Linked DNA regions of Oryctolagus cuniculus. The protein of the gene in region 2 interacts with the protein of the main gene of each other region in a biochemical or structural test. Links are inferred from orthologs where the notes say so. Each region holds a gene or a part of one and is shown on either strand. Other genes may lie near its edges.

Region 1 (9,664 bases), about 34 Mb from region 2:
TATGCAGTTGATACTAGCTGTTTTGCAGCTCTAATTATTCATTCCATTTTGTGAATGAGCTTTATGAATAATAAATCATTTTATAAATACTTGGTCTGCTTCATGTTATTTTCCCATTTTAAATTAGGGATTCAAAAATGTAGGATATCAGTGATAAACTGGTCTTGGTAAGACATTGAGGCAGAGAAAGATCTTCCATATTCTGGTTTGCTCTCCAGATTACAACAGCCAGAGCTGTAAAAATCCAAAGCCTGGAGCCTCTTGGATCCCCCATGCAGGTGCAGGGGCCCAAGGACTTGGCCATCTTCCACTGCTTTCCCAGACCATAGCAGAGAACTGGATTAGAAGTGGAGCCACTGGGACTTGGACCACAACGATGTGGGATGCCAGCACCACAGACTGGGGCTTTAACTTGCTGTGTGGTGGCACCAGCCACAGGCAGTTGCCTTGACTCCATGTCTCAGATCAACTGACTGCCTTTCCCTTCTGGGGGCAGAACAAGCTGCCCAACATGGCAGCTTTTAAATGGGGGTTGGTTCCTGACTGAGACGGTGTGCTGCATTGACACTGCCGCATTCAGGATCATGGTTTAGAGCCAGTGGGCACTCGGACAGCAAGCCAGTGTCAGGCTGCTCCAACAGCCATGTCTCCACTCCTGGCTTGGGAAGCCAGCCGCCAGTGAGCTGTGTTGAGTCTTGGGAGCTAGGATTTGTGAAGTTCACGTGGTAGATCGCGCTGACAAGCTGATGAGACAAGCATTCAGAAGCAGTAATTGTGCTCCAGCAAATGCTTTCTATCTTTCTGCATTCCAGAAAGATTGGCCCAGCCTGTTCAGCAGAGGAAGAGTGAGGTGTGGGTTAGGGGAACTCTGCATCCCAACATCTGGGCTGGAACACCACAGGATAGCCTTTTGAAGAGCTCTACTTGTTTGACAAGTTGGCCAGGAGAGGTTTTGCATTTATTTATATTAAATGGCTTTAGGTTTCATGTGCTGTGCTTTGTTTTATACAAATGAGGGAATTCAAGGTAAGACCTCTGGTCCAAGTTGATGTTCCCAGCTTGGCTATAGGTCGACGTGGCAGCTCCAGAATGGTCTTGCCTGGTAACAATCTGAGAGGAGGCTGCACCTTCAGGTCCTAGGGCTTGAAGTGATGAGGTCAGGTAAATAGTTGAATTTGCCTGTGGGTTGTGTTCGGGACATTGGATTTTTTTCATTCTACCCAAAGATGAATTTTAAAACTTGAGCAGTTAGCTCTGCATTTTACAACTTAACATGTGAACGTTTTCAGTTCTCTGAGACAAAGTTGACAAGTGGGCCCTGTACTAACAGGAAACTCGGGTTGCTTTCATTCCATAAAGCTTGGCTACACGGCATGTTTCTCAGTGGGCTTGAGCACCCACCGCCTGTGCCCTGTCCCTGCTGTGGGCTCTTGGAGCTGCCCATCTATACTTGCATCAGACCTGGGATGAGGATTCCCTGTGGGATGATAGGAAAACCGGGTTGAAGGGTAACAGTAAGGTGTTTCAGGTGTGGAGCCGTGGATGTGCCGAAGTGGGAAATCGGGATCCCCTTGAGTTCAAGGAGATGTGTAGAGGGAGGGCTGGTTGGATTTTAGGTGATGCGCCTAAGGAGCCAAACTCCAGGTCCCTGTATCTGTTTCAAGGGTGCAGGGAGAGCACCTAACAACGCACATCTGAGGATGTAGAAGTGGAGGGCCCCAAGGCAGCGACTGGTGCTGGGCTGTGATAGAACCAGGAAGAGGAAGTTCTACAGGACGTACGTGTTTGATTCCACTGTGGAGCCCCGTGGTGTGAAACCTCTAAAGCTGTGGTGTCTGGTCAGATTCCCGAGTGGAGAACCGCTCGCCCAGCCTCCTGAGAGCCCTGGCACTTCAGCACCCAGGCTGAGAGGTGAAGTGGGGGCAGGACAGAATGAAAGGCTGTGTGTGTGTGTGTGTGTGTGTTCCAAAGAGATCTCAGGGCATCACCAGTTTGTGGGGCTCCCAGGAAATGGGGCGGGGAGCTCCTCAGACGATCCACGCCCCTGACTAAAGGAGTTTAGACGGCTGGATCTCCACCCTCTTGAAGCCCACGTTTTCTTGACTTCTCAGGCGAGCTCTGGAGGGAAAAGAGAATGAACCTGGCAGCATCCGCCCAGCCCTGGACCCCAACAAGTAGTGCTCTGAGCGCCCAGCTTCACCATCATCGCAAAGGTAGACGCAGTAGAAGGCTGTTTGTGCAGAACGCTTTATAGACCAAAGCTGGGACAGGGCTGGAGGTGAGAGGTCAGGGAAAAAAGGTTCTGGCCCAACCCCCACACGAGCTGCCCCAAGGCAAGCCTCAGTGAACAGCAGGGTTCCCACATTGGTCTAAATAAGTCTGCTTTATCTGGGTCTGGGGTCGGGGAGTCCCTTTATCAGAAGGGAGGGAACTCCCCATCACCAAGCCCACTCTCCACCCTGAGCCAGTTCAGTCTGTGGCCTCCGCCTTGGTCGCTCGGGGCACCAGGAAGATGGCACCATCGGCAGCCTGCTGCAGCACGTACTCTTCTGGGGAGTAGCTGTTGCCTGACTCATCCCGTAGGTGCTGGAAGATGTCCCGGTACAGCTCGGTGAGCTGTTGGCGCATGACTTCCAGGGTCCGGTCAGCCTCCCCTCGGGCCCTGAGAAGCCGCTCTCTCTCGCTGCCCAGCTGCTCCAGCTCCCTCTCCAGCTGCACGATGGTCTCCAGCTTTCTCTTGCGACAGTTCTGGGCGGCCACCTTGTTCTTGCCCCGCCGGCGGATGTCCCGGACCAAGGCCAGCTGGCTGTCCGTCAGCGGGTAGCGCGCCAGCAGCTCGTTAAAGTCGTCTACCGGTAGGTTGACGATCTTGTCCGTAGGGAACGGGATCTTCATGGCCAGGGCCCGGCGCTCATCCCGACTCCCGGCCTCCCCGCGTGCGCTCGGCTTGGCCCGCACAGGGCCTGACGAGGGCTCTAGGGCCAAGGGGGCCTCGGCGGGTGGCAAGGTGTAGCTGGGGTGGACCAAGGCGCTGGGCACGAGTGAGTAGGGGTACTCCACTGGGTACATCTCCAAGTACTCGCCGCGCCGCCGGCCGGCCTCTGTCCCCTCCAGCTCGAGAGACTCGGCGTCGCTGTAGTTGAGGGATAATCCCGAGTCGGATTCTGGGTCTTCTTGGGGCTTGGGCGGCCCTGCAGGCAACCCAATGTCCAGGAGGGCTAAGGGGTCTGGGAGAGGCTCGTTGAGCAGGCCTGAGAGGGTCAGTGGCTTGGAGACTGGACCGGCCATGTTGTTGTAGGGGTAGGGGGCGTCTGGGACGTGGGATGTGGGTGCTGGGAGCTCATAAGGTGGTGGGGGCAGGGGGAAGCCAGCATCCGGGGGGACGGAGCAGGGGCAGTAAGCTGGTGGGGGCAGGGGTCCAGAGAAAGGGGCTGGGGCTTGGGGCTCAAACGATGGCTCACTTGGAGCGTTTAGGCCCTGCAAGGAAAGACATAAAGAGGTTGGGAGGGAGGCTGAGGAAGTGAAAACTCAGGACAAAGCTGGGCCCCTCGGAAAAGGCCAGTAGCAAGAGAACAGAGAGAAATGCCGAAAACCGACGAGGCTTCCTGCAGAGCTGTGTTAGCAATGCGGGGAGAGCAAGAAGGACAGCGAGGTCAGATTCAGAACAGTCTACCTAATGCTGGAACAGCTCCCGGGGTTCGAATGGCCCAGGAGCCTTTCTTTCCTTCAGGGAGAAGGCAAGGCGTTGGTAGCCAAGATGACCCTTTCCTGCTGCAGTTATCTGGGGTCAAAGGGTCAAGTCCAGGCCCCAGCCATGCCCTGGGTGCCCAGCAGGGGGAGCTGCTACCTGGAAGGAGGGCCCAGGGCAGATCCTAAGGGCGTCCGTCAGGCCCCGAGGCAGGGGAGGGAAAGAGGGCGGGCGCAGAGCTGGGGCCAGGGGCCGAGAAGCACTTTGGGGAACTGGCAGGAGCTCGGCCCTCTCCTCCTGTGTCCCTCTGTCCCTGCCCAGGTGCAGCGAGGAGGAGAGAACGTGCTGCAGACAGGGCCCCCAACCCACATAGGGGAGCCACCCTGCTCCAACCCAGCTGGGGACAAAGGCCTCATTGTTAGGCCAACAGACACCCCTTTGTCCAGGGAGCAGGGGGAGAGGACCCCAGCATGGCTGGACTCCCCTTCCCTTCCGAGGCCCCTGAACTGCTGCCCTGCTACCTGGGGGGAGGTCTCGGTTGCTAAGAGCAGGGAGGAGGAGATGGCAGGACTGGAGAAGAGGGAGGGAGGACAGAGCCAGAGGCAGCGTGGAGCCGTGAGCAGCATGGCTGCTGAGTGAGCTTTGCCCTCGCCCCTCAGACCCTCCCCTCCGCTCCCCAGCACTCCTGTCCCCGCTAATGCACACTCCCCAGGTTCCCCCAGACTCCCCAGAGTCTCCCATCCACATCTCCCACATAGTCCAGCCCTCTCTTTCCCAGCCTGGAACACTTCCAGCCTGGGCCCCGCTTGCTCCCACCTGCTGCCTCCATCCAGTGCAGGCCAGGCTCCCCGCCCCGCCCCCCCACCCCGCTCACCTGCAGTTCGGTGATGGACATGATCTCTTGCCAAGTCAGTTCCATCTCGCCCAGCTCTGGAGTGGGCAGCTGTGTCAACTTGTTCCTGCTCTGCTGGGGGGAACACGGGGGCATCCTACTGGGCCAGGGTCTGTCTGGTCCAGGTTCCCCCAAAGCCCGAACGACCCCAGCAACCTGCGCCAAAGGAGAAAGGTGTGAGAACCGCTCCTGCTGGGCTCAGCGAGTCTCTCCTTCCCCCAGTGGCCTTGAAGCAAGAGAGCCCTCGCCCATCCTGAGCTCCTCAGCCCCTTAGAGCTCAAAGCAAGTGGGGTGTGAGACCGCCCGCTCACCTACTCAGGCCGCTCAGCTCATGTGGGAGCACAGTAGGACTTTACCTGGTCTTCGGACAGGATGCCTTCTCTCTCTCTCCCTTACCTCTTCCGCCCTAGAAATGTACTCCTGGCCAGGGCAGTCTTTTTGGTTTGGGTTGGAAGTCTGGGGCAACATCAGGGGCCACCCCTGCTTTCCTCGTCCGTCTTCAGCTTCAAGATCTCAGCCTTTTCTTCCCAGGATGAGAGTGCACGCTTGGGGGATCCCCCAAGGAGTGTGTTATGGGAAGAGCCACACAGACAGCTTTCTCCAGCATGTGGCCCAGGCCTGGGTGCTGATAGCAGCCCTGCCCTCCCCTGCCTGGGCCAGATAAGAGGCTTATCAGCTGCAGGCAGCAGGGGCAGAGGAGGAGTGGACTCTGCAGACACTGGACCTTGGCCTTGTGTCCCCACAGGGTCATCTTGGCCATACCTCAACCCTTAAAGCCAGGGGTCTTTCCTCTTGCGAGGTTAGCGTAAGCACCCTAACAATGAATTACTAAGTGCTTTTCAGGGGGTTGTGCAGGGCCTCTGTGAGCATCGGTCAGGAGAGTGACTTTCACAAAGGTCCTGTAGAGTGGGTTCAGAAGCCAAGACCCACAGCAGCATGAGGCCTGGAACACGACCCTCCTGGCCTCGCCGGCACCTGCCAGCCCTGTCCTGGGTCTGCGTATCCCAAGCCTCTGCTGGCACTGACGTGGTCACTTCTCCCCGCGGACTTGCAGCCTCTTCCCTCTCCTGGGCAGTTTCCCTTTAGACCCCTCAGTGTGCACTCCCCTCCAGCGCCGCTGCTTCTGTTTTGGGCTCCAGCAGCGGCAGCGGGAGGTTGGGCAGGCCATGTCGCTTCTGGGCCTGTTTCCTCTTTGTGAAAGCAGAGTTAGACAACCTGATCTCGGAGGTCCTTCCTGCAGGGGCGGCGTGCGCTTCACTCCTGCGCAGATCTGTCTGTGCGTCAGTCCCTCTTCTCATCCCAGCTCCCCAGCTCCTGACACCCATCACTGCCCACATCTGTCCTTGTCTTCAACAAGCAGAACAAGAGGCCGCAGAGTTTTGTCCAGGGCCTCCTGATCTCAGCGCACGTGCACGCAGCACCATGCAAGGATGGGAAGCAGGCTGGGGATGAAGGAAGCCCGCAGAGTGCAGAGGGTAGCCCTGGATGACCTTAGATAGCCGGACCCCTGACCACCCGCCGCAAGGCTGGCCCGCCACAGCTGTTTCACACGGAGCCCATTCTTTGGCTGGACCACAAAGCCGGGGCCGGGGGTCGGGGGGGGGGGAACGACTACAGATGACCCTTTCGAAAGAGGATCTCTCCTAGCCTGTGCCTCTCTCTGCTTGCAACTGGGAGTTGGTGGAGGTACAGGTCCTCCTTCAGCCAGCAGGCACGGTGGGTGGGGTGTTTATGTCTGTCCAGGAGGCCATTTCAACACCGGAACCCCACCCTCCCCCACCCAGGTTCTGGCGGAAATTGCCCAAAGGCAAAGTGAATGGAGAAGGGGTTTTGGGGGCAGGGACATCCACTCTTGCCTCATAGTTCCTTAAGCACCCCATCCCCCTTCTGTCTTCCCGGATCTGACACCCAGGTGCTGTATACAGAGCCTGCCCCGGGAGGCAGGGAACCGGATTCTCCATTCCTCAAGCAAATCGCTTCCAAAGGCCAAATTCTGTCTCCTCCCTTAAATAGCGAACTAGAGAACCCCACTGCCGTGAGAGGCCGTGGTGCTGTGTCTGTCTCAGAAGTCACACATGTATCGTGCACTGCATCAACCCGGGGCCATGCGAACACACAGACTCGAGAGGCTCCCCAGACCTCGGAACCGAATTCCCAGGCGCCAGAGGAGCCCAGTAGGTGATCCTTAGACTTCTAGCTTTGAACCTTGAGCCAGGCAGCCCTGTCCTGTCTCTGAGCCGAGGAATCCGCTCCCTCTCGGGAAGACCTGGGGCTCAGAAGGGAAGCGAGGGCAGCTGGGAGGCTGGGGCAGAGGGAGTTTAAGGACAACCCCAGAATCAGCTCCAACCAGCAGTTTGCAGCAGGCTCCAGGGGGAGTGGGAGGCTTCTCCCAGACGCTCAAGGGCCGGCTGGAGAGGATCTGTATATCAGATAGAGACCACCACTGGGCCCCAGGAGGCTATCCCTCAGAGGGACAGGTCAGGGAGGCAGCATAGTCAGAACTGGCTCAGCTGGAACCCCACAGGGGCCACCCTGGGAAAGACGGGTGGGCTTCCCTGTGCCCCCCTTCCTTAGCAATGAGCATCTCCCACCTTACAGTTTCGCCTGCATTTGGGGGGTCAGTCCCCTTATTCCCACTCCCACTGAGTTGGTTGGCTGCTCCTCCTCTTAGTTCCCAATACTGTGGACCAGGTAGGACTGGAGCCATCTTTAGGGGCTAAAATCCATCCTCCTCACTCTCATCCTGATGGTCCTCTCCAGAGAGATTGTTCTCACAAGCCCTAAATACTCGCAGAATTGTGCAGAGTCTTATGTTTGGGGGTACAGAGCGAGGAGGGTGGCGCGGGGAGAGGATGACTCTGGGCCTCCACCACTGTCCCAGGGCCCCTAACTTCCTTGACGAGCAGGAATGACGAGGGAGGGGGCTTGCTCAGACCACCCCACCTGTCCAGGCATCCCTAGAGGCAGTAGGGATGGGAAGGGAGCCACAAAACTTGGGATGTGGCACGGTGGGGGAGCAGCCCCCTTAGAAAGACTAGGGAGAACCCTCAAAGAAGGAGAGGCAGACCTCAGGGAAAGGGAAGAGAGCTTTGATCATGGGGGTCTCCGTCCTCTGGGGACAAAGAGGACTGAGCGGTGTGTGTGTGTGAGAGAGAGAGGGAGAACAGGGAGAGGGGACCAGCTCCTGGCATCCCGCACTCCACCCCTTGACCCCAAGCTCCAGTCTGTTGGGACATTGCGTGGAGAGTCCCAGCAGAGGATGCTCCTCTGCCCCCTGGCTCTCAGGCCACCAGGAGCTCTGGTGGGGTTCGCCCGCCTTCCTGTCCCTTCCAGGTCTAGCTGATCTCTCCTGTGCAGAGAAGGGGCAAGGGGAAGCTGGAACCCAGCACCCCCTACCCAGTCATGCCACTTCTCAGAAGTCCTCAATTGTTTAGCTTCCCCCAAACCTCCACAGCTGGCTGGACCGAGAAGAATGCAATGGGCCAGGGGGAGGACGGTATCATGTACCTGGAAGTCTGTTGCCCGCTCAGGGCAGCCCTCAGGCGACCACCGGTCCCCATCCACTGCCTCCCACCCCAAGGATCCCAGGGCACTCAGGAAGCTATGCAGGTCTTCTCCCAGGGGAGTTCTCCCAGGTGCCAATTCCTAACCTAGGGCAGTGTGGGGAGGTCTGAGGTCTCCTGGGAACCTATGGAAAGTTGCTGCTGTCTCCCTCACTCCTTGGCCTCCCCCTCCCCAGCCTGCCCCAGGATCTCACAGGAACCCCCCCCCCCACACACACACACACCCGCGCCCACCCTGCCTTCCGGCACCTGTGGCAGAGTCCAAGCGTGCACGAGCGAGCAAGCTGGGTAAGGAGAGAGTTGAGGTTCCAACTGGCGTCTCTGGGCAGGCTGGGTCTGAGCTGACACCTCCTGGGCCAGGATCTCTGTACCTCTAAGCTCCCGCAAGGGCTTTGTCCCGCCCCCCGGCCATGGCCGAGCTCTGAGCCTGGAGGCTCAGGCTGTGCTGAGAGCAGTGAACCCGGAGGCAGGCGCACGGGCTCGCTCTCGGTCTGGAGCCCTGGCCTCCCGAGTTCTCAGTCCTTCCTCCAACCCTCCCCTTTCCCCGTGGCCCTCCTCTCCTTCTGCCCCTTCTGGCCAAGAGAGGAAACTTGAGCCCAGTGTGGTTTCTGCCCACAGCCCGCCCCCACCTTGCTCCCAGCCAGCGGGGGCACACAGGGCTCCAAGCCTCTCCCGGCCTCTTTGGCTGCCCAGGAGCCCGGCCAGGGCTGCGTTTCTTCTGCGCGCATGATGCGTTCCAACCTGCAGGACCTCTCCAAAGTGACCTGTAAACTCTATGCAGGTTGTGTCTGTCCTCTGCCCCCAAAGCCAGCTCTCGGGGTCCTGGAGACGGGGTCACGGCGAGGTGGAGGACTGTCGAAGGGAGGATAGCCGTCTCGCTGCAGCTGGTTGGGTGGGTGGGCGTTTAGGTCAAAGCCTTCAGTTAAGGAAAGCCTGGCTCCGGGAATGGGCAGGGGGATTTGGAGAGGAGGGGCAGGCTGCTTTGATGTACCCTGTCACCTGCAGCCTCCCCTCCCCCTCAGCCTCAGATATCCTAGCACAAAAGCCTCTTTCTTGGCCTGGCTTTTCCTCTGTGTGAGAGAGAGCAGAGGTGGGTGGGGGGCTGCCCGGCAGGGAGATTATTCACCTCTCTGAAAAGGGACCCCCGGGTGTCCTCTGTCCTCCTTTCTTCCAGCCTAGGCACCTTGGGACCCTGGACACACCAGGACACGTGTGTGTAGGATGTCAGGTCCAACTCCCAGCCCCCATGGCAGCTCTCTGTGAGGCCAACACAGACCCCTTGAGCTTGCCCAGTCACCCTGTGGCCTCCAAGCCCCAGGGCAAACAGATCTCCCACGGGAGACCGGGAGAAAGGAGTTATCCTTCCTCTTAGCTTTCGGTGACTTTCAGCTCTGAAAGTTCTTTGCCTGTCCGGCTGCGATCCTTTTGTCTGCAGCTGGCACTTTTTCTCTGTTTCTTTCTTCTCCTGGGGTTTTGAGATCATTGGAAACATTAAGACTGGGGAAGTGGACAGGTGCCACC
Region 2 (9,662 bases):
CAATGATCTTGGGACTCACACAGCACAAAGGCTTTTAAAAAATTCTTCAGGAGATAATGTTTGATGGAGCAGGTAGGTAGAGCGTGAGGTGGGGGGAATGATTCATACACAGAACAGGATGACATCAACTTAGGTACAAAGGACATGTGGCCAAATGAAAATCACAACATAAACATATAAGGGTCACGGTAAGGATGATTCCCGTAATGGGGAATTCTCTAGGGACAGGAAAAGAAAAAGCACTCCAAGGATCTGACCACAGCCAGTTCTGAAAAAAAGCAAAAAGAGTTGAGGGGACAGCAGTTTTACATGGAAGTGCACTACTAGACTAGAGGCAGACAGGGGCAGGAATAGCAGGGTTAACTACTCCTTGAGGTGAGGATAGTTTCCAACCTAACAGTTTTAGCTGAGGGCTAACCTCCCAATCAGAGAATGCTACAAATCAATTCTGTGAAACCCTTTACTAATTCATATTGTCTCAAAGCCAGTATCATTTACAGCCACGAAAAATCCACATGCCTTTACTGACTGCTTATTATAAGCGCAGAATTTGGCTAAGAACTATAAATACAGGGGGAAAAAAACTTGCATGCTTTTGATTCAACTTATGTAGAGAAAATCAATCTCCAATATCCAAAATCAGAAGTGGTGAGGAAAAAGAAAAGTAGGGAGTTGGTAGGAGGGGGAATGGAGGGAATCAAACAGGTGACTATTTCCCACCAGTACTAACACAAGTTTTTTCAGCCAGAATGAACAGAACAAACTTGTTTCTGGGCCAAAGTTCCTTGTTAAACTCTTGTCTAAACAGTCAAGAGGAATAAGCTGAAAATACCTCATTTTTTTTTTCCTGGTCTTACACCAAAAGCTCTTTAGAATACCAGACTGAGCACTGCAAAACCTGGTTCTAGTCCTAGCTCTGACTCTTAACTAGTTTCAGATAAATTATTTGACCTTTAAAAAAAATAAAAATTCAAAAACAATCAGAGGCCAGAGCTGTGGCACAGCAGGCTGCGCTGCCACCTGTGACACCAGCATCCCATATGGGTGCCAGTTCAAGTCCTGGCTGCTCCACTTCTGATCCAGCTCCCTGCTAATGCACCTGGAAAAGCAGTATGTGGGAGACCAGAATGGAGTTTGAAGCTCCTAGCTTTAGTCTGGCCCAGCCCTGGCTGTTGCAGCCCTTTGGGGAGTGAACCAACAGATAGAAAATTGATCGCATTTGTACTTATGCGCGCGCTCTCTCTGTAACTCTGCCTTTCAAATAAATAAATCTTTTTTTATTTATTTGACAGATATAGTTAGACAGTGAGAGAGACAGAGAGAAAGGTCTTCCTTCTGTTGGTTTACCCCCCAAATGGCTGCCATGGCCGGAGCTACGCCGATCTGAAGCCAGGAGCCAGGTGCTTCCTCCTGGTCCCCTATGCGGGTGCAGGGGCCCAAGCACCTGGGCCATCCTCCACTGCCTTTCTGGGCCACAAGAGAGAGCCAGACTGGAAGAGGAGCAACCGGGACTGGAACCCGGTGCCCATATGGGATGCTGGCACCGCAGGTGGAGTATTGACCAAGTGAGTCACAGTGCCGGCCCAAATAAATACATCTTTAAAAATTTGTAATTAAATAATTTTAAAACCAAACAGAAAACTAATAGGTTGGACTAGTCTGGGAATACCTTGTGATGGCTGCTGTGGTACAGCAGGTTAAGATGCTGCCTGTGATGTCAGCGTCATACATGGCCATTGATTTGAGTCTCAGCTGTTCTACTTCCTATTCAGTTCCCTGCTAACGTGCCTGGGAAGGTAGCGGAAGATGGCTCAAGTGTCTGGGCCCCTGTACCCACATGCCGCCTACAACATTTCCCATCCAGCTCCCTGCTGGTGTGCCCGGGAAGGCAACAGCAGAGTGCTTGGGTCCCAGCACTCATGTAGGAGACCTGAATGAGGCTCCTGGCTGGCCCAGCTCAGGTGATTGTAGACTTTTGGGGAGTGAACCAGCAGATGGAGGATCTCTCTCGCTTTAACTCTGCCTTTCAAATAAAAAAATAAATCTTTAAAAAAAAAATACGTGGCACATATAAAGAAGGGTACTACACAGTCTGTGAAAAATAAAATTGAAAGATAATTTTGGTGCAACATATTTTGAATCGATTCATAGCTTTTCCATAAACTTAATGAAGACTCCTTGTAACCCACTAGGTAACCATCAGCTGGAGGCAACACTAGTTAAACATAACACATTTCCAGAGAATCCACGCAACCAGAATCCTTCTAAACACAATTCCTCTGACAGCTACTTCAATTCAAGTTGGCCTATAAACCAAAATTTATTTGCCAAAATCGAGTACATAATATCTCCAACTCTAAAAATTGAGTATTAAATTTCGGTAGACTGTCAAAAAACACCTCCAACAAGCCTGAATCACCTGTGTTGACAGTCAATTTCAGTCAAGTTATCTTCTAAATCGCACCTGACATGGTTCTAATTTCTTATATGCTTGTGAGTAATTCACTCTAATACTAGTAACGTAAATAACCTGGCAATGCTATTCAGACTCACTAATGGGTTCCTTTGAGAGAAAAGCAGCCTGTTACACAGACTTGCTTCCCTGCCAAAATCCTCATCCAAAAATACAGGAACAAACCACACTAGTAAAAAGCTGAATCCAATCCCTTACCCATCCCAGCTGTCTCTCCCGCAACATCAGGCTTTGTCACTTCTCACCTAGACTTCTGCAACAGCCACTCTTCCAACCTTTCTCTGGTATCAGAGCAATCTTTCTAAAACGCAGGCGCTCACCTCTCATCCCTGTGTAAGAATCAGCATGTTTCCAGCGACAACAAAATTCAAAATTTCCAGCATTATATTTAGAACATTTCACATAGCTGCTTCTTTTTACCTTTCATTCTTCACATCTCATAAAGCTCTCCTTCCCTATCCCACTCTCTGCCCGCTCCCGGAACCCTTCTTCCAGCCATCACATAGGGTTGAGATGTTCCCTCTCTCTACCCCTCTTCCTCACCTTTGTCATGTAACTGCTCATCACCTAAGATCCAACACAGGTCTAAGGGCAGGTCTAGATTCCTCCTCTGGCCAACCCCTAGTCAGAACTAACCACTTCCTCGTCTCTCAGTCTCAAAAGTTTCTTGAGCTGTCCTTGGTATGTCCACAATACTGTTTACCTCAGTAGTTCCCAGGCCCATTAGAATCACCTGAGGCATGTTCTGAAAACAAACGGAAGCCAACCCAGATCTATTAAATCAATCTCAGACGGAAGAAGCTGGATGTCTACTTTTAAAAAAAACATTACCCTAATGGTCATATTTGGAGACCGCTGGTTTGCCTTTCTCTTGCAATAGGTGTAAAGATGTGTTTTTTAAAAGACTGTAGAAATTATTTACTTTGGACTACAGTGAAGTTCTGTGCACTCTTTTTTTTTTTTTCATTCTCACATTATCACTGCTGCCTTGACCCGCACGCTGAAGATGAAGTCCTTTTGGACTTATACCCACTGTTCTAAAAAGCAGAATTTCCACTTTCATTTTTAAATCCGAAAAATGAAGTCATTGCACCTTGAGTAAACATGTCAATACACCGTGCAGGCTCTCACCAGATCTGCCATGATAACTTTCAGAGAAGCAGCAAGTCCTTCGCCGATTCTGCCGGTGGAAATAACACTGCCTTTACCTATTTCCTTAAAGTCGAATTATATTAGGAACAGATGCAGGGCGATCCACCTAAGTCCGACCACAGGAGGCTGGCTCCAAAAAAAGGCTCAATAATTTTCAAAGAAAAACCCCACTCTTCCTTCCCCACCCCCCATCCAAAGCAAGTATACTACAGCGGTGTTAGAACGGCAGAAAATGTAACAAGACTAGGATACTAATATAACCACAAAACCCGCTGAGTTGTTCTGGGGGAAAGGAGAATTTCGGATACTTCGCAAGTTCACCTCGTTACTTCTCTGACTAACTTTAGGCCCGACGATGACCTCGGGAGCACAAATCCCGTTTCTCCAAAGTCGCGGCCCGAACGGAGTCTCCAAACTTGAGTTCACCGCTTCAAAGTCTCGTCTTCCTCACGTTTCGGCCCTTAGAACACATTCACAGCTACTTTCTTCTCTGCTAAAGAAAAGGGCACTCTTCGGACCAAGGGCAGTGACAGCTCCACGTCTGCACAAGTCGGCGCCGCGGCGGCGGTGGCGGCGGGCGCCGGGGAGGGCGCCCGGCCCGGGACCACCACGCGGGGGGACAATGGAGGGAGGAGGGGAGTGGAGGAGACCAGAGGAGGCAGCCGCCGGGCTGGGCCCTCCTGGAGACCAAAGGCTCGGCAAAGTCCCGGGAGGGCCAGACCAGAGGCAGGTGGGCCTGGCCGCCGCCCCTCACAGGGCCACGTAGCCCGCGGCCGCCCGGCCCCGCGCGTAGGCCGGGCCTCGGGAGAGTGGCCCCCGGGAGCGGCGGAGGGGCGCGGGGATGGACCCTGCCCACGTCCGCCGCGGCCCATCCCGCTCACAACTTGAGAGCCCACGAGACGAGGGGGTCGGGGCAACTCGGCAGGCGCCGGCCCTGCGGTGTGTCTGGCCGATCCGAGCCCTCGCCCGGCCCCGGCCACTGGCCCGTGCTCCCCGCGCCCCCCACGAACACCGGCTAGGAGGGCAGGAGCAGCCGCAGCCGCTGGGGCGGTCCTGGCTCGGGCGCCGCACTCCTCGACCCCTCGTTCTCTCAGGTCATTCTCACCCAGGCTTCCCCCTCCTCCCAGAACCGCCCCCAGTCAGCCCGCGGGTGTTTACCGGGACTCGGGGCGGCGGCGACTCCTCAGTCCCTCGACTAAGATGGCAGCCGGTCCCGAGCCCCGACCACAGCGACTAAAGCGAGTTAGCGGCCAATGCGCAGGCGCCTCCACTCGGGAGCGGCCCGGACTACAAGCCCCAGCAGGCCTTGCGCGCCAGCCAGCTGCCGGGCCGGGAGAGCTGGGGGCTGGTGAGAGCTGCTAAGTGGAGTTCTTCCCAGCCCAGGTGAGGACTCCAGTGGCTCCCAGCTCCGCTTTCTTTTTCCTTTTTTGTTCTTAGCACCCCGCCCACCAGAACCTCTGAAGACTGTAGCTGGAGTTGCCAAACTGCAGTGTGCATAGAATCGCCTGAGGGGCTTTTTAAAACTTACACTGCTGAGCTCCCGCCCCCAGAATTTCAGTAGATTTAGGACAGAGTCTGATCATTTGCATTTCTTTTTTTGTTTTTATTTGAAAGGCAGAGTGACAGCGAGAGGGAGAGACAGAGAGATTCCATCTGCTGGTTTACACCTAAATGGCCGGGCCGAAGCCAGCAGCCTGGAAATCCCTCTGTGTCTCCCACGTGGGTGGCAGAGACCCAAGCACCTGGGTCATCCTCCCCTGCCTCCCGGGATGCTTTGGCAGGAAGCTGGATTGGGAGCGAGCCGGAGGTGGGACTGGATCCCAGGCACTGTTATATGGCATGTCTGTGGGCATCCCAAGTAGTGGCTTAACCCACTGCGCTGCAGAGGTGGCCCCCAGCTTAGTCCCTAAAAACAGACACTGAGTGGACTCAAATCCTCCTCCTCCAGCCTTTAACAGGGAGGCTTGGGGATGATGGGCGTGGTGAGGCGCCCGCGTGGTTGGTGTTCTCTAGGAGTGAGCACCCAGCTCCCTTCCTGCTCACAACACATCAATGAGAGAAGGACCGTTGTCACCTGGCCTCACAGTCACATACCGGATAAGAACCTGGGCAGTCTGCCTTCCCATCCCTCCGCCCAAGTCCTGCACAGTTGTTTGTGAGAAGTAATAGGCCGTGCAAGTAGTGACTCAGGCACAAGGAAGCGCTCCGTAATTAGTGACCTTTGCTATTATTATTTAGCCTGTTTCCTCCTAATGAAAATACTGTTTTACCATCTGGAAAGTCACACTTTTCAAAGTACTTTCAAAACCACTGTGGTTCCGCATTACCCCCTTTGGACAGCTTGTTAAAAACAGATTCCAAGGACCTACCCCACTCAGATTCTCTAGAGCAGGGAGTCTTGCAGTCAGGACTCAACCACCTGCAGGTGGTTCTGTGTTTAAACCACAGATCCCTGGGGGCCCTGTCTGCTTCTGATTCCATAGGTCTGCGGTAGGGCCTGAGAATTTGCATTTTTAATATAATTTTTGGCAGCTTTTTCTCATAACAAAGTTTTTGGAAAATCTTATTTTTTTTTTTCTTTTTGAGAGGCAAAGAGAAAGATGTTCAATCTGCTGGTTCACTCCCCACATGGCTGCCACGGCTGGAGCTGGGCAGATCCAAAGCCAGGAACCAGGAGCTTCTTCTGGCTCTCCCGCATGGGTGCAGGGGCCCAAGCACTTGGGCCATCTTCCACTGCTTCTCCAGGCCATAGCAGAGAGCTGGACCAGAACTGGAGCAGCCAGGACTTGAACCAGTGCCCATATGGGATGCCAGCAACACAGATGAAGGCTTAAAATCTACTATGCCACTGCACCAGCCCCAAGAATTTGCATTTTTAACCAAGATCTCCACATTGGGAGAATCACTGCTCTAGGGCAGTGTTTACCAATATTTTTTTAAAAAGTTCTCTCTCTAAAGAGCATTTTTAGACATATTCCTCCAGTTATCCCATCCATGAAAGTTTTTTTTTTTTTTTAAGATTTATTCATTTATTTGAAAGACAGAGTTACAGAGAGGCAGAGGAAGAAGTCTCCCATCTGCTGGTTCACTCCCCAAATGGCCGCAATGGCCAGAACTGGGCGGATCTGAAGCCAGAAGCCAGGAGCTTCTTTTGGGTCTCCCACGTGGGTGCAGGGGCCCAAGCACTTAGACCATCTTCTACTGCTTTCCCAGGCCATAGCAGAGAGCAGAATCCAAAGTGGAGCAACTGGGTCTCGAACTGGCGCCCTTATGGGATGCCGGCACTGCAGGCAGTGGCTTTACCCTCTATGCCACAGCGCCAGCCCCATCCATGAAAGTTTAATGGCACAATATAATATGTATCTATTTATATACTGTGTGTTTATGCTTTGTACACACAAAAAAAGTAAAAGTATTTCTTCACAACACAACTATGTTTGTCCTATTAAGGGTTATGCTGTAGGGGAATCTGGTTTTTTTAACCAGAGCTCCAAGGCATTCTTGTCACTAGAAAAGTTTGGGAAATGTAACAACCCTTTAAGGTATGAAGTATTATCATGACCATTATACAGAGAAGAAAATTGAGTCTGAAGGAAAGTAAATGACTGGTCAGGAGCACTCAGCCAGGAACCTAGCCAAATACTCTCTCTGGATGCAGATTTAGTCTTGATCTAGAATTTTTTGAAAAGATTTATTTATTTATTTGAAAGTCAAGAGTTACAGAGAGAGAGAGAGGAGACAGACATAGAGAGAGCATCCATCCACTGATTCACTTCCCAAATGGCTGCAGTAGCCAGGGCTGGACCATTCTGAAGCCAAGAGCCAGGAGCTTCCTTAGGGTCTCCCACATGGGTGCAGGTGCCCAAGGACTAGGGCAATCTTCCATGCTTTCCCAGGCCATAAGTAGGGATCTGGATCGGAAGTGCAGCAGCCGGGACTTGAACCGGTGGCCATGAAGGATGCCTGTACTGCAGAGGGCAGCTTAACCCACTGTGCCATGGCACTGGCCCCCATCTATAACTTTAAAACTATATAATATTAGGCAAAACAAATCTATAACATTAGAAGTCAGAATAGTGGTTATCTTTTCAGGGGAGGTGTATCTGGAAAGAGGCACAAAGGTACTTCTCAGGGCAGTGATAATGATCTGTGCCTTGATCTAGGTGCTGGCACACAAGCCATTGTGTGAAAATTCATCCAGCTGTAACCCTAGGATCTGTGTATTTTTCTCTGTACTGTACAATGATAAAAGTTTAAGGGGCTGCTATTGTGGCATAGTGGGTAAAGCTGCTACCTACGATGCTGGCATCCCATATGGGTGCTGGTTCATGTCTCAACTGCTTCACTTCCAATCCAGCTCCCTGAAAATGGCCTGGGAAAAGCAGCAGAAGATGACCCAAGTGCTTGGGCTTCTGCTAACCAAGAGAGACCTGGATGGAGCTCCTGGCTCCTAGCTTCAGCCTGGCCCAGCTCTGGCCGTTGCAGCCATCTGGGGAATGAACCAGCGGATGAAAGACCTCTCTCTATAGATGGATGGATGGATGGATGGATTGATGGATGGATGGATGGATGGATGGATGGAGAGAGAGAGAGAGATAGGGGCTGGCACTGTGGCTCATTCGGTTAATCCTCCGCCTGCGGTGCTGGTATCCCATATGGGTGCCAAGTCCTAGTCCCGGTTGCTCCTCTTCCAGTCCAGCTCTCTGCTGTGGCCCAGGAGGGCAGCAGAGGATGGCCCAAGTCCTTGGGTCCCTGCACATGCATGGGAGACCAGGAAGAGGCTTTGGATCAGCACAGCACCAGCTGTAGCAGCCATTTGGGGAGTGAACCAATGGAAGGAAGACCTTTCTCTAATAAATAAACAAACAAACAAACAAACAAAAAGATAGATAAACTAAGCCTTTAGAATAAATAAATCTTTTTTAAAAATTTATTTTAAAATGTTTGTTTTATGGCCGGCGCTGTGGCTCAATAGGCTAATCCTCTGCCTTGCGGTGCCGGCACACCAAGTTCTAGTCCCGGTCAGGGCGCCAGATTCTGTCCTGGTTGCCCCTCTTCCAGTCCAGCTCTCTGCTGTGGCCTGGGAGGGAAGTGGAGATTGGCCCAAGTGCTTTGGCCCTACACCTGCATGGGAGACCAGGAGGAAGCACCTGGCTCCTGGCTTTGGATCAGTGCAGTGTGCCGGCCGCAGCGGCCATTGGGGGGTGAACCAACGGCAAAGGAAGACCTTTCTGTCTCTCTCTCTCTCACTGTCCACTCTGCCTGTCAAAAAAAAAAAAAAGGTTGTTTTAAATAAAAGATTTATTTCTTTAAAAGGCAGAGTATCAGAGAGAGAGAGAGAGAGAGAGCGAGAGAGAGCGCCATGATCCATCTGCTGGTTCAGTTCTTAGATGGCTGCAATGGCCAAGGGATGGGTCAGGCCAAAGCCAAGAACCAGGAACTCCATCCAGGTCTTTCACACAGGTGCAGGGGCCCAAGCACTTAGGCCATCTTCCACTGCTTTCCCAGGTGCATTAACAGGGAGCTAGACCAGAGGCAGAGTAGCAAGAATATCAGAATGTCACTCTGATATTAGGATATTGGCATTGCAAATGGCAGCTTAACCCTTACCACAACACTGTGCTGTAAATATATACTCATTTTGTTGTAAAAATGCATCTCTTTCTATTACAAATCAAAAATTCTCAAATTTAAGGGTACATAAGAATTGCCTGGAGGGATTCTTCCTTTTCAGAAACTGGTGTTTGTTTGCCATCAACGTCGTTTCTGCTTTGCTTTGGAGACTATGAAGAGCAGCTTGAGACCCCTCAGTGGTTGCTCCTACCTATTCGGTATCACGGACAGTGGGGCTGCAGCCCAGTCTTCAGCAGCCGCCTGAGCACTCTGGTCTTCACAGGGAACCGCTGCATAGGCACAGAGGGCGCCTGGAATCCCTCCGACCAGTCCGCAACCTCAGACAGCAGTAGCTGTGGCGGTAAGCGCAGGAGCGGGCCAGCCATCCGCCCTGCAGTCCCTCCTTGGTCACAGTCCTCTCAGC
Region 3 (9,409 bases), on a different chromosome or scaffold from region 2:
GTATGACTCTGGGGATTCAGTTTCCAACACAAGTTCTGGATGCAAAGACTGAAGCACAGCAAGAGTAGTATATGCACTTTATGTTATCCCTCAACAAAACAGATGAATAATAAGGCCATCACTCGTAAAGACAAAGAGGAGGACAGAGAGTCAACCGTGCCTGGTACAAAAAAAGGAGGCAGACGAGCGGCAACTCCTAAAACAGACTTGAGAGAGCAGAAGCTTAAACGATCAGTGAAGACATCAGAGAAGCAGCACCATTTACATCAGTATCAAGGAACCTCTACATGGCACAGAGATGGATGGAATCCAATCTCTGCCTGGAAAGGGAATAGCTGAAAAGCAGAGAACTGAAACCTCTTACAAAGCAGCACCCTCAGATCTCTCCTCCCCGAGCACCTAGGACACACTTTCACTACAGCCTGGAAGGAAGACAGGAAGCTTTAAACCAGAAAGGTGTAAAATGAAGTGTCTCTGGCTGGGAGGCTATCAGGCATGATTAAAGGTAAATACCAAAAGCAAGGTGATTCACTGAAATATGACATAGTAGATATTAAACTCTCAACTTTCTTCCCCAACTTTGTTCTTAGGAGCTATGGCAGTCCTAGACCTCTCCAGAAAGGAGGCTGGAAATGTCTTGTCTGGGGCATGTCAAGAAAAAAGATCCAGACAGTGACACTGAGCATTCCCCAAGGAAAACTGTCAAGGTAACTCCCCAGTAAAAAGCCACAGCTGATAACTTCTACATCAGTGTCTCGAATCAGCTTCCCAGTGCCCCAATCATTCAAACACAGTAGTCCTCCCTTATTAGTTTTGCTTTCTGTGGTTTTAGTTACCTAAGATCAACCACAGTCAGAAAACATACTGTAGTTGTTTTGACTCTTTCAAGAGACTATATTCAAATAACTTTTATTACAGTATGTTGTTATAAGGTTTTATTAGTAAAATTATTGTCAATCTATAACTGTGCCTAACTTGTAAATTAACCTTATCACAGGTTAAGTGTGTATAGAAAAATATAATAGATATAAAATTCAATATTATCTATGGTTTCAGGGACACACTGGTGATCTTGAGACATCTCTCCTTAGGACAAGCAGTAACTGTGTGTGTGTGTGCACACACATGCACATGCAGCCGGCCAAGAATCACAAATTTGAGGAAAGTATTACAGATAAAACAGTATTTCATTATTCTTATTAGTACTAAAGAATAATGCAGTTTTGTTGAAATTGACAATGTATAGGAAAACTTTTTAAAAACCCTATCATTTATATCAACATGAAGAGAAAGACTGCATTCATAAGATAAAAACAGAACATGCATACCCCCAAAAATGGACATTCAAAAAAAATGAATGGAACTTTTAAAAACTAAATATAAAATATCTGGAAAGAAAAATTCAATACAGGGATGAAAACATAAGATTATGTAATTATTTTTAAAAAGCTCAGAAAGCAGAGCAAAATATAGAGATGATGAACAGGAAAGAGAGGTTGGTGCTGTGGCACAGAAGGTTCAAGTCCCAGCTATTCCACTTCTGATCCCCCTCTGGTAACACACCCAGGAAAGCAGTCAAAGATGGCCCAAGTGCTTGGGCCCCTGCACCCACTTGAGAGACCCAGAGAAAGCTCCTGGTTCCTGGCTTTGCTGTGGCCATTTGGGGAGTGACTAAGCGGATGGAAGATCTTTCCCTTTCTTTCAAATAAATAATTATTTAATTAAAAAAAAATACAAAAGAGCACGTAAGAAAATCAGGACCCAAGGTCCTGAATTATAAAACTTCCAGATATAAAAAGAATGAAAGACCTTAAGAAATAATTCACAGAATTTCTCATTAACTGGAAAACATGAATTTCCATTAAAGATAAATGGATAAAAAATAATAATAAAAAAAAACCTGCCAAGTAACAGGCCATGAAGTCAGAACACTAGGCTCCAAAGGACCATCTAAAACGGCTTATACAAAAAGTGAGAATTATAAGCGGTAAGAAATTTCTACATAGCAACTAAAATTTCAAATAGCACAATTAATTCATAATTCTGAGTAAAAACAAAAAACTTCCAAACTCAGTCAAATGACTGCTCAGGTATTGTATCCTCTATTTCCTGGACACCATGTTTGGTGAAAGAAATCTCAAGGCTGATGATAGAGTTCTGAAGATGGCAAATATGTAACTTGTCCAGAGTAGAAATAAAACTCCAGAATAGATTTCTCCCAGAAACTAAAATTGATGAAACACCCAATGTATTTCCTTGTTTTAAGATGATATACACAACTGTGGGAGGATTCAGGGTTTAATTTGTGACAAATGCATGGGAAATTAAGACTATTAGTTACTAACTCTAAGAAAAACAAGATATGGAGGCAGAAATAAAAAGGAATCCCAGTAGACAGTATATTTCAGTTTTGATTACTTACTGTCTTATTAATAAAATTATGATATCATATTGAAAAGATGGGAAGACCAATGAATAAAGTTTTGTGTGCATGTGGTAAAGAAAGAGCAAGTTAGAACTTCATCTTTCCTACTAGGATGTTAGTGGAAAATGCCTAAAACAAAATACAAAGTAGCAATAAAAGCATAATGTTTATAGAGATATAGAAAGTCCAAAAGAATTCGATAGGGAAATTGATACAAGCTGTCTTAGGAGATAGGGGAGGGTTTAGAATAGCTGAATTTCTGATTTTCACTACAAAATTTGTAAAAATATTTAGTTCTTTAAACTATGTGAATGATGTAAACATTTTAATTCCATGCTGTCCAACAGAATTATAATACAAGCCACATATGTAATTAACACATTTTTCTAATAACCACATTAAAAGTCAAAGAGAAACAGGTAAAATTAATTCCAATGATAGTATTTTATTCAAATACATCCAAAATATTATTTTCACATGTCATCAATAAAAACAGTACTGATGAGACAGTAATCAAGATCGTATTTGTCCTGTTTAAAAAAAGTTTATCTCAATGCCAACCAGCTCCATTGCAAGTTCTCAATACCCACATGTGTCTAGTGGCTACCTATACTGGACACTGCAATTTCAGAGATGCTTTTCCTATGTTCTCATTGGAACTTATCATGGCAGGAACATTTAAAGGACCTAAGACTTTCAGCAGCAACCTAAAGTATGAAGGCATTGCAGAAACTGTTATCTAGCATTAGTGATAAAAAGCTATGCTTCCTAACCTGAAAAATAAGCTATTAATCACTCTTATCACACAGCAATTTCATGATAATCAACAGAATATATTCAGTTGAGAAAATACCTTATACAAATGATCATTTACAGACCCTCCTTATTTGCCTTATGTGAATTCTATCAAAGCTGACATTCCCCTTCCCTGGAATTTTGTCCTGTTGTGTCACTGGAACCCCTTCTCTATTCCATAGACCCCAATTCCCTCTTCTTCCCTCAGAAAAGGAATTCTATACTACATGGGACGGCCTTGTGGCACAGCAGGTTAGTCACTAGGGATGCCAGCATCCAGTATCAGAGTGCTGGCTGGAGTGTCAGCTACTCTGCTTCTGATCCAGCTTCCTGCTAATGCTCCTGGAGAAGGAATGGATGACAGTTCAAGTATTTGGGACTCTGCCACCTACATAGGGGACCTGAATGGAGTTCCAGACTCCTGCCTTTGAAGATATCAATCTTTCTCTCTCTGCCTTTCAAGTAGGTAAATAAATCTTTAAAAAAAAAAAAAAAAAGAATTCTAAGCTCGACCTTCAGAGCTCTTAAGAAATTAAGCAATACATTCAAGGCTTATCATATTTCTAAACATAGGTAAGCGCTGATTAAGTATCTTTGAAAGATTTAAAAAACTATTAAATGACTTTAAATATTTAATTTTCAAAGCTGAAAAAAATTTTGAAATGTCAACCTGAAGTATTAAAAAAGTATAATAGTTAAATCTAAATCAGAATCAAAACCAGATACCAATGATGACCTTAAGTTATGATTTTTAAATGTTCTAATAAAAACACATTTCAAACATAAATATGGGGTTTGAAAAGTTTATGGAAAATTAAATTACAACCTTATTTGATGCAAAATTTTTGAAAGCCATGTAGGTTTTTCATAACATACATTCTCCATGAACTTTTTGGAGCCACTCATATTTCTGTGTATATGCTTTTTAAAAAGCTCAACAAAAAAGGTAAAATTCCAAATCAAAATATTTAGCATATTAATTCAAATCTCATAAACACTGGAAGTGGTAAATAATCATGCTTAATGGTGAACATAAGCAGTCTCCTATAATACTGCATTTACCTCTCTAAAGCTAGCAACAAAAGTTGCTCTAATGTCCACCTATCTGGACCTTTACCAAAAAAGGGGCTTTTTATTTCTTAATTGACAAGTTATATTGACAGTAAACAGAGCGATCTTGATTTTAATATTAAATAAAGCTAACCTATCCATCAAGTCAAATATTTGATATTTTTCGAAATGAGAACAGATTTGAGGTTTACTCTCATCAGTACTGAAACATACAGTATTCAACTATTAGCTACATTCACCACGCTGTGCAATGTATCTCAGAAAGAAAAATCAAACCTACTCCTCCTACTGAGGTGGAGAGAATGAGGGATGGATAGTCAGGGGGCTTTTTCTAAAACCTGGATGCAACTTCCAAGTCCCACTGCATTTTGACCTGTTAGGGAAACTATGCGCCACAGGTGAGAAGTAAACCACAAACCAGGTAACGCAAGGGCTTCTGTTTCGAACAGGTCATCCCGGTACAAAGCCTCCAAATTAAGAGCATTATTGTAGAGGAGCAAGAATCAGGATTCAGAAAATCTGTTTATAATTGGGCCTTCTTGTATCGCCTCCTTCTGATTTGCAAATATATTGCAAGCCAGTATTTTGAGGCAACAAGGCTCTAGAACGCAAACTGACTGATTACAATACAACAAAGCACACCTCGGGGACCTACCAGAGACCACCAGAGAAATCTGTTGCAATCTGAGCGCGGAAACTGGGCCGAGCCTGCAGCAAACGCAATAATGCCGTGTCACGAAGCAATGCGCGTTCCCACAGAAACTTTCTGCGCACGCAGAACCAGGACCGACGGCCCCTGAGCTGTGCCCCCTAGTCGACAGGAACACACGTATTCCACGGCGAAAAGCAACTGCAGCAGGCTGGGGACTTTTTGCAAAGACCCTTAGGCGCTGGGGGGAGGGTGAACAATCACAAAAATTTCCAAAGCCAAAACAAACAGCGGGGAGTGGCGAGCAGGGATGCTCCTGGAGGGGCGGGGGCACTTTCCACGCAGAAAGCAAACTGGGGCGCAAGGGGTGGGGGGTGCCTCTCGTACGAGACGGGGAGTAACAGAAACAACTTCTCAAACTATCCTTTCTCGGAATTGCTCCCCTTCCCTAAAGGAGACCCGGGTGAGCGGCCCGGCCTCCTCCGCCCTTCTAGACCGGCCCTCCCCGTCCCACAGCGAGTCCACCGGGCCCAGGGCACCCACGCCCGCCCTCCCGCCCCGGAAGCCGCGCAGGGGCGAGCCACTCCCCGCCCCACCTGTGCCTTCCAGACCGCAGCGCCGCCCCGAGTGTCCCCCGCCCGGCCGCCGCTGCCCAGCACCCGCTCCCTCGGACGAGCCGCCGCGGCGCCGCGCTCCGCCCCGCCACAGTCCCGAGGTGCCCAGCGCCCTGCCCTCCCGCGCGCGCGCCCGCCGCGGGCTCACAAAGCGTTCCAGGCCGCGCGCCCCCGGCGGCGCCACGTCACGCGCGCGCGCCAGCCCCCGCAACCGCGCGGCAGGGCTGTCGCAGACTTGCTCTCACGGGACGGCGGTTCCCCGCGGACTTGTGACCAGCCCGCCCAGACGAGGTTCAGTCCACGCTGACCTTCCAACTGCCGCGTGGGAAGACGACAGTCAGCTTCAGTCCCAGGAGTCGCTGTGAAACTCCGCCAGGAGGGGAAAAGAGCGAGCGCGGGAGGCCTGCGAGCACCTCGCGGAGTCAGCGGCTCGGCCGGGACCCCAGCCGGGGTTTCCAGCGGCAGTGTAGCCCGCCCCGCGCCTGCGCACTCTCTCTGCCCCGCTCACCGCGGCCTCGGGAGAGACTAGGACGGGGTGGTAGGCTGCGAGGCCTGCGGCCGCTGGAAACAGAGCTGAACACTTTGCACCTGGGAGAACAATGGCTAATCCTCCCCTTGGAACCTTGTCCTTGTGACCGCGCTGAGTCTCCAAAAGGTTGCCCACAGCAGCAAGGTTCAAAGTTTGCTTGTTTGCGCTAAACATCCGTATCCGTACCGCAAGAAGTTAACTTTCGGACTCCAAAGGATAAAGGACCAGTCTTGCCCATACCATTTAGGAATATGGCATGCTAAACGGAAAAAAGTAAACATCCTGTCTACTTTTCCTCAAAAGTTCTTTAAAAGTGGTACAAAGCTGTGATGACAGATTCATACTTGTGAATAAGCCTTCCTTAGATAAATCTGTATGCGATGCCCTGGTATTTAAACATGCTTAAGTGACTTGTCTAGGGATGGCAGTGACTTGTTTCAGATGAATTTTTACCCTCATTAGACAATGTGATGTCCATAATAATGTACAAGATACATGAGCAAGCTTTTCTTTAGCAGGAGCAAATTGTATTCCTTTTCTTCAACTCATTTCCGTTTCACATTGTGAAATTTTATCTCAATGCAGTGTGTGGGTTTATTCTTGAAAATATTTTCTTTATTACCTATTCCTCTACCTAAAAAATAAGTAAACAAATTTAAATATAATTTTTAGAATTTCCAAAAGCTGTAAACTATTTTAAAAATGTGAAGTTTCTACATATACAAGATCATTATAAATAGAAAACTAAAGAAGTTAAAGCAAAGCTACCAGAACTAATGAGTTTGTTAAGGTTGCAAGATAGACAAAGCAACATATAAAAATCATACACACAGTGTATACTTCAAGAATTAAACTGAAAATTCCATTTGCAATATTATGAAGAATAAAAATTCGGGGGGCTGGTATAGCACAGTGGGTTAAGCTACAGCTTGGCACTCCTGCATTCCATAGTAGAGTACCTGGTTTGAATCCCAGCTAATTAGTACTTCCAATCTAGCTTCTGGCTAATGCCCTTGCGAGACAGCAGAGGGTGGCCCAAGTGCTTTGCTTCCTGCCACCCAAGTATGCGGCCTCTATTGAGTTCCACGCACCTGGTTTAGCCCAGCCTCTGTTGTGAGCATTTGGAGAGTGAACCGGAAGATGGAAGCACTCGCTCGGTCTCTCTGTCCCTCTCTTCATCACTGCCTTTCAGATAAAATAAATCTTTTTTTAAAAAATATTTATTTATTTATTTATTTGAAAGAGTTACACAGAGAGAAGGAGAGGCAGAGAGAGAGAGAGGTCTTCCATCCGCTGGTTCACTCTCCAATTGATGTCAATGGCCAGAGCTGCACTGATCCGGAGCCAGGAGCCAGGAGCTTCTTCCGGGTCTCCCACATAGGAGCAGGCCATCTTGTACTGCTTTCCCAGGTCATAGCAGAGAGCTGGATCAGAAATGGAGCAGCCGGGACTCCAACTGGTGCCCATATAGGATGCTGGCACTGCAGGCGGTGGCCTTACTTGCTTTGCCACGCGCTGGCCCAAAAATAAATCTTTAAAAGGAATAAAATACTTAGGGATAAATTTAATAAAATAATTGTATGACTTATACACTGAAAACTATGGAAAATTACTGAAAGAATTTAAAGGCCCCAAAAAATTGAAAGGCATTCCATGTTCATGAGTTTAAAGACTTCATATTAAGACACTATTCCTTTGGCTCTTGGCTTCGGATCGGTGTAGTGCTGGCTGTAGCGGCCATTTTGGGGGTGAACCAACAGAAGGAAGATCTTTCTCTCTCTCTCTCTCTCTCTCTCTCTCTCTCTCACTGTCTATAACTCTACCTATCAAATAAAAAAAAAAACAGTGTTTCCCAACTCTTATTAATAAAAAGCACTATTCCTAAAATGGATCAACAGATCCAATGAAATCCCTGTCAAAACCAAACGACTTTATGGAATTTGGCAAACTGATCCTAAAATTCAGGGAAACTCGAATGACCCAGAATAAAAACAGTTTTGAAAAAAAAGTTGGATAACTTAGACTTTCTAATTTCAAAACTTACTACAAAGATGCAATGATCAGTGTGGTGCTTGATCAATGTAATAAAATCAAGAGTCCAGAAATATGAAGATACTTCAAAAAGATCATGGAGAATGGAATTGAAAGATGTTTATTTTGGTGCAAAAATGTTTAAATTCATGCATAGTTTTCTCATAATATAAGGTTTCCATAAACTGTTTGCTTTTATTTAAGAGATACTTACACAGAGAGCTCCCATCCTCTGGTTCACTCCCCACATGTTCACAATGGCAGGAGCTGAACCAGACCCAAGGCAAAAGCATGGAACTCAATCCAGATCTCCCGTGTGGGTGGCAGGAAGCCAGTCACCTGAGCCATCACCTGGTGCATTAGCAAGGAGCTATATTCAGGAGGCAGAGTAGGGACTCAAACCCAAGCCCACTGACTTGGTATGCAGGCTAAACAGGACTTATTAGCAGTCCTTCCAAATTTGACAACAATTAGAAACACTTATATTGAATTATCAAGATGAACTATATTCCTAAATTATATTTTAAAAGCTAATCTGGATAAACAGAGAAGAAATTGAATTTTGTCTTTCTATGGAATATATGAGTATTGCAAAGTAATTTTTATATGAAGAAGCAAAGGTTTTTGTTAAAAAGGCAATTCCTTAAACAAGTTAAATCTATTAGAGTTTATTTGAACAAAGCAAAACAAAACACAATTCTTGAATTAGGCAGCTTGTAGAACCAGAGCAGAGTCTGAAAATTCCAACCAAAAATATGATCTGTGGCATAGCAGGTAAAGCCACCGCCTGCACTGCCAGCATCCCACATGGGCACCGGTTTGAGTCCGGATTGCTCCACTTCCGATCCAGCTCTCTGCTATGGCCTAGGAAAGCAGTACAAGATGGCCCGAGTCCTTGGGTCACCGCTTCTATGTGGGAGACCCAGAAGAAGCTCCTGGCTCCTGGCTCCTGGCTCCTGGCTTCGGATTGGCGCAGCTCAAGCCATTGAGGTCAACTGGGGAGTGAACCAGCGGATGGAAGACCCTTCTCTCTTTCTCTACCTCTCCTCCTCTCTCTGTATAACAATGACTCAAATAACTAAACCTTTTTAAAAAATGTGATCTGACAGTATTTATACCAAAACGGAGGTGAAGCATAGAAAGCAACTTAACTGGCTACAATTCAGTCAACTAGTCAATTGGTTGCAGTGTAATTAGTCAATTGTTTACAGCTTAGTTTGTTAATTGGCTACAGGGCCTTCTGCAACCAACCAAAACTCACTGCAATTAGAATCTATGTTACTTGGATCTGTTGG

The links. The genes of interacting proteins can lie anywhere in the genome.
Region 1: of the proteins of ITCH (region 2) and NFE2, one has a biochemical effect on the other in vitro, tested with the Homo sapiens proteins (2 studies listed by BioGRID, with this or other methods). The link is inferred for Oryctolagus cuniculus from reciprocal best matches to the Homo sapiens genes ITCH and NFE2.
Region 3: the proteins of ITCH (region 2) and SPART form a complex in vitro, tested with the Homo sapiens proteins (2 studies listed by BioGRID). The link is inferred for Oryctolagus cuniculus from reciprocal best matches to the Homo sapiens genes ITCH and SPART.

What each region holds. Positions count from the first base shown.
Region 1 is NC_091442.1:57,223,540-57,233,203, forward strand, and holds NFE2 (transcription factor NF-E2 45 kDa subunit), read right to left. Parts: upstream 6,047-9,664; 5' UTR 5,049-6,046; coding exon 4,977-5,048; exon of another isoform or gene 4,937-4,976; intron 4,737-4,936; coding exon 4,563-4,736; intron 3,478-4,562; coding exon 2,470-3,477; 3' UTR 2,232-2,469; downstream 1-2,231. UniProt on the Homo sapiens protein: Component of the NF-E2 complex essential for regulating erythroid and megakaryocytic maturation and differentiation. Binds to the hypersensitive site 2 (HS2) of the beta-globin control region (LCR).
Region 2 is NC_091442.1:23,707,166-23,716,827, forward strand, and holds the start of ITCH (E3 ubiquitin-protein ligase Itchy homolog), read right to left. Parts: upstream 4,916-9,662; 5' UTR 4,784-4,915; exon of another isoform or gene 4,203-4,783; intron 4,136-4,202; exon of another isoform or gene 3,947-4,135; intron 1-3,946. UniProt on the Homo sapiens protein: Acts as an Acts as an E3 ubiquitin-protein ligase which accepts ubiquitin from an E2 ubiquitin-conjugating enzyme in the form of a thioester and then directly transfers the ubiquitin to targeted substrates.
Region 3 is NC_091440.1:77,754,594-77,764,002, reverse strand, and holds the start of SPART (spartin), read right to left. Parts: upstream 6,047-9,409; 5' UTR 5,863-6,046; intron 5,693-5,862; exon of another isoform or gene 4,947-5,692; intron 1-4,946. UniProt on the Homo sapiens protein: Lipophagy receptor that plays an important role in lipid droplet (LD) turnover in motor neurons.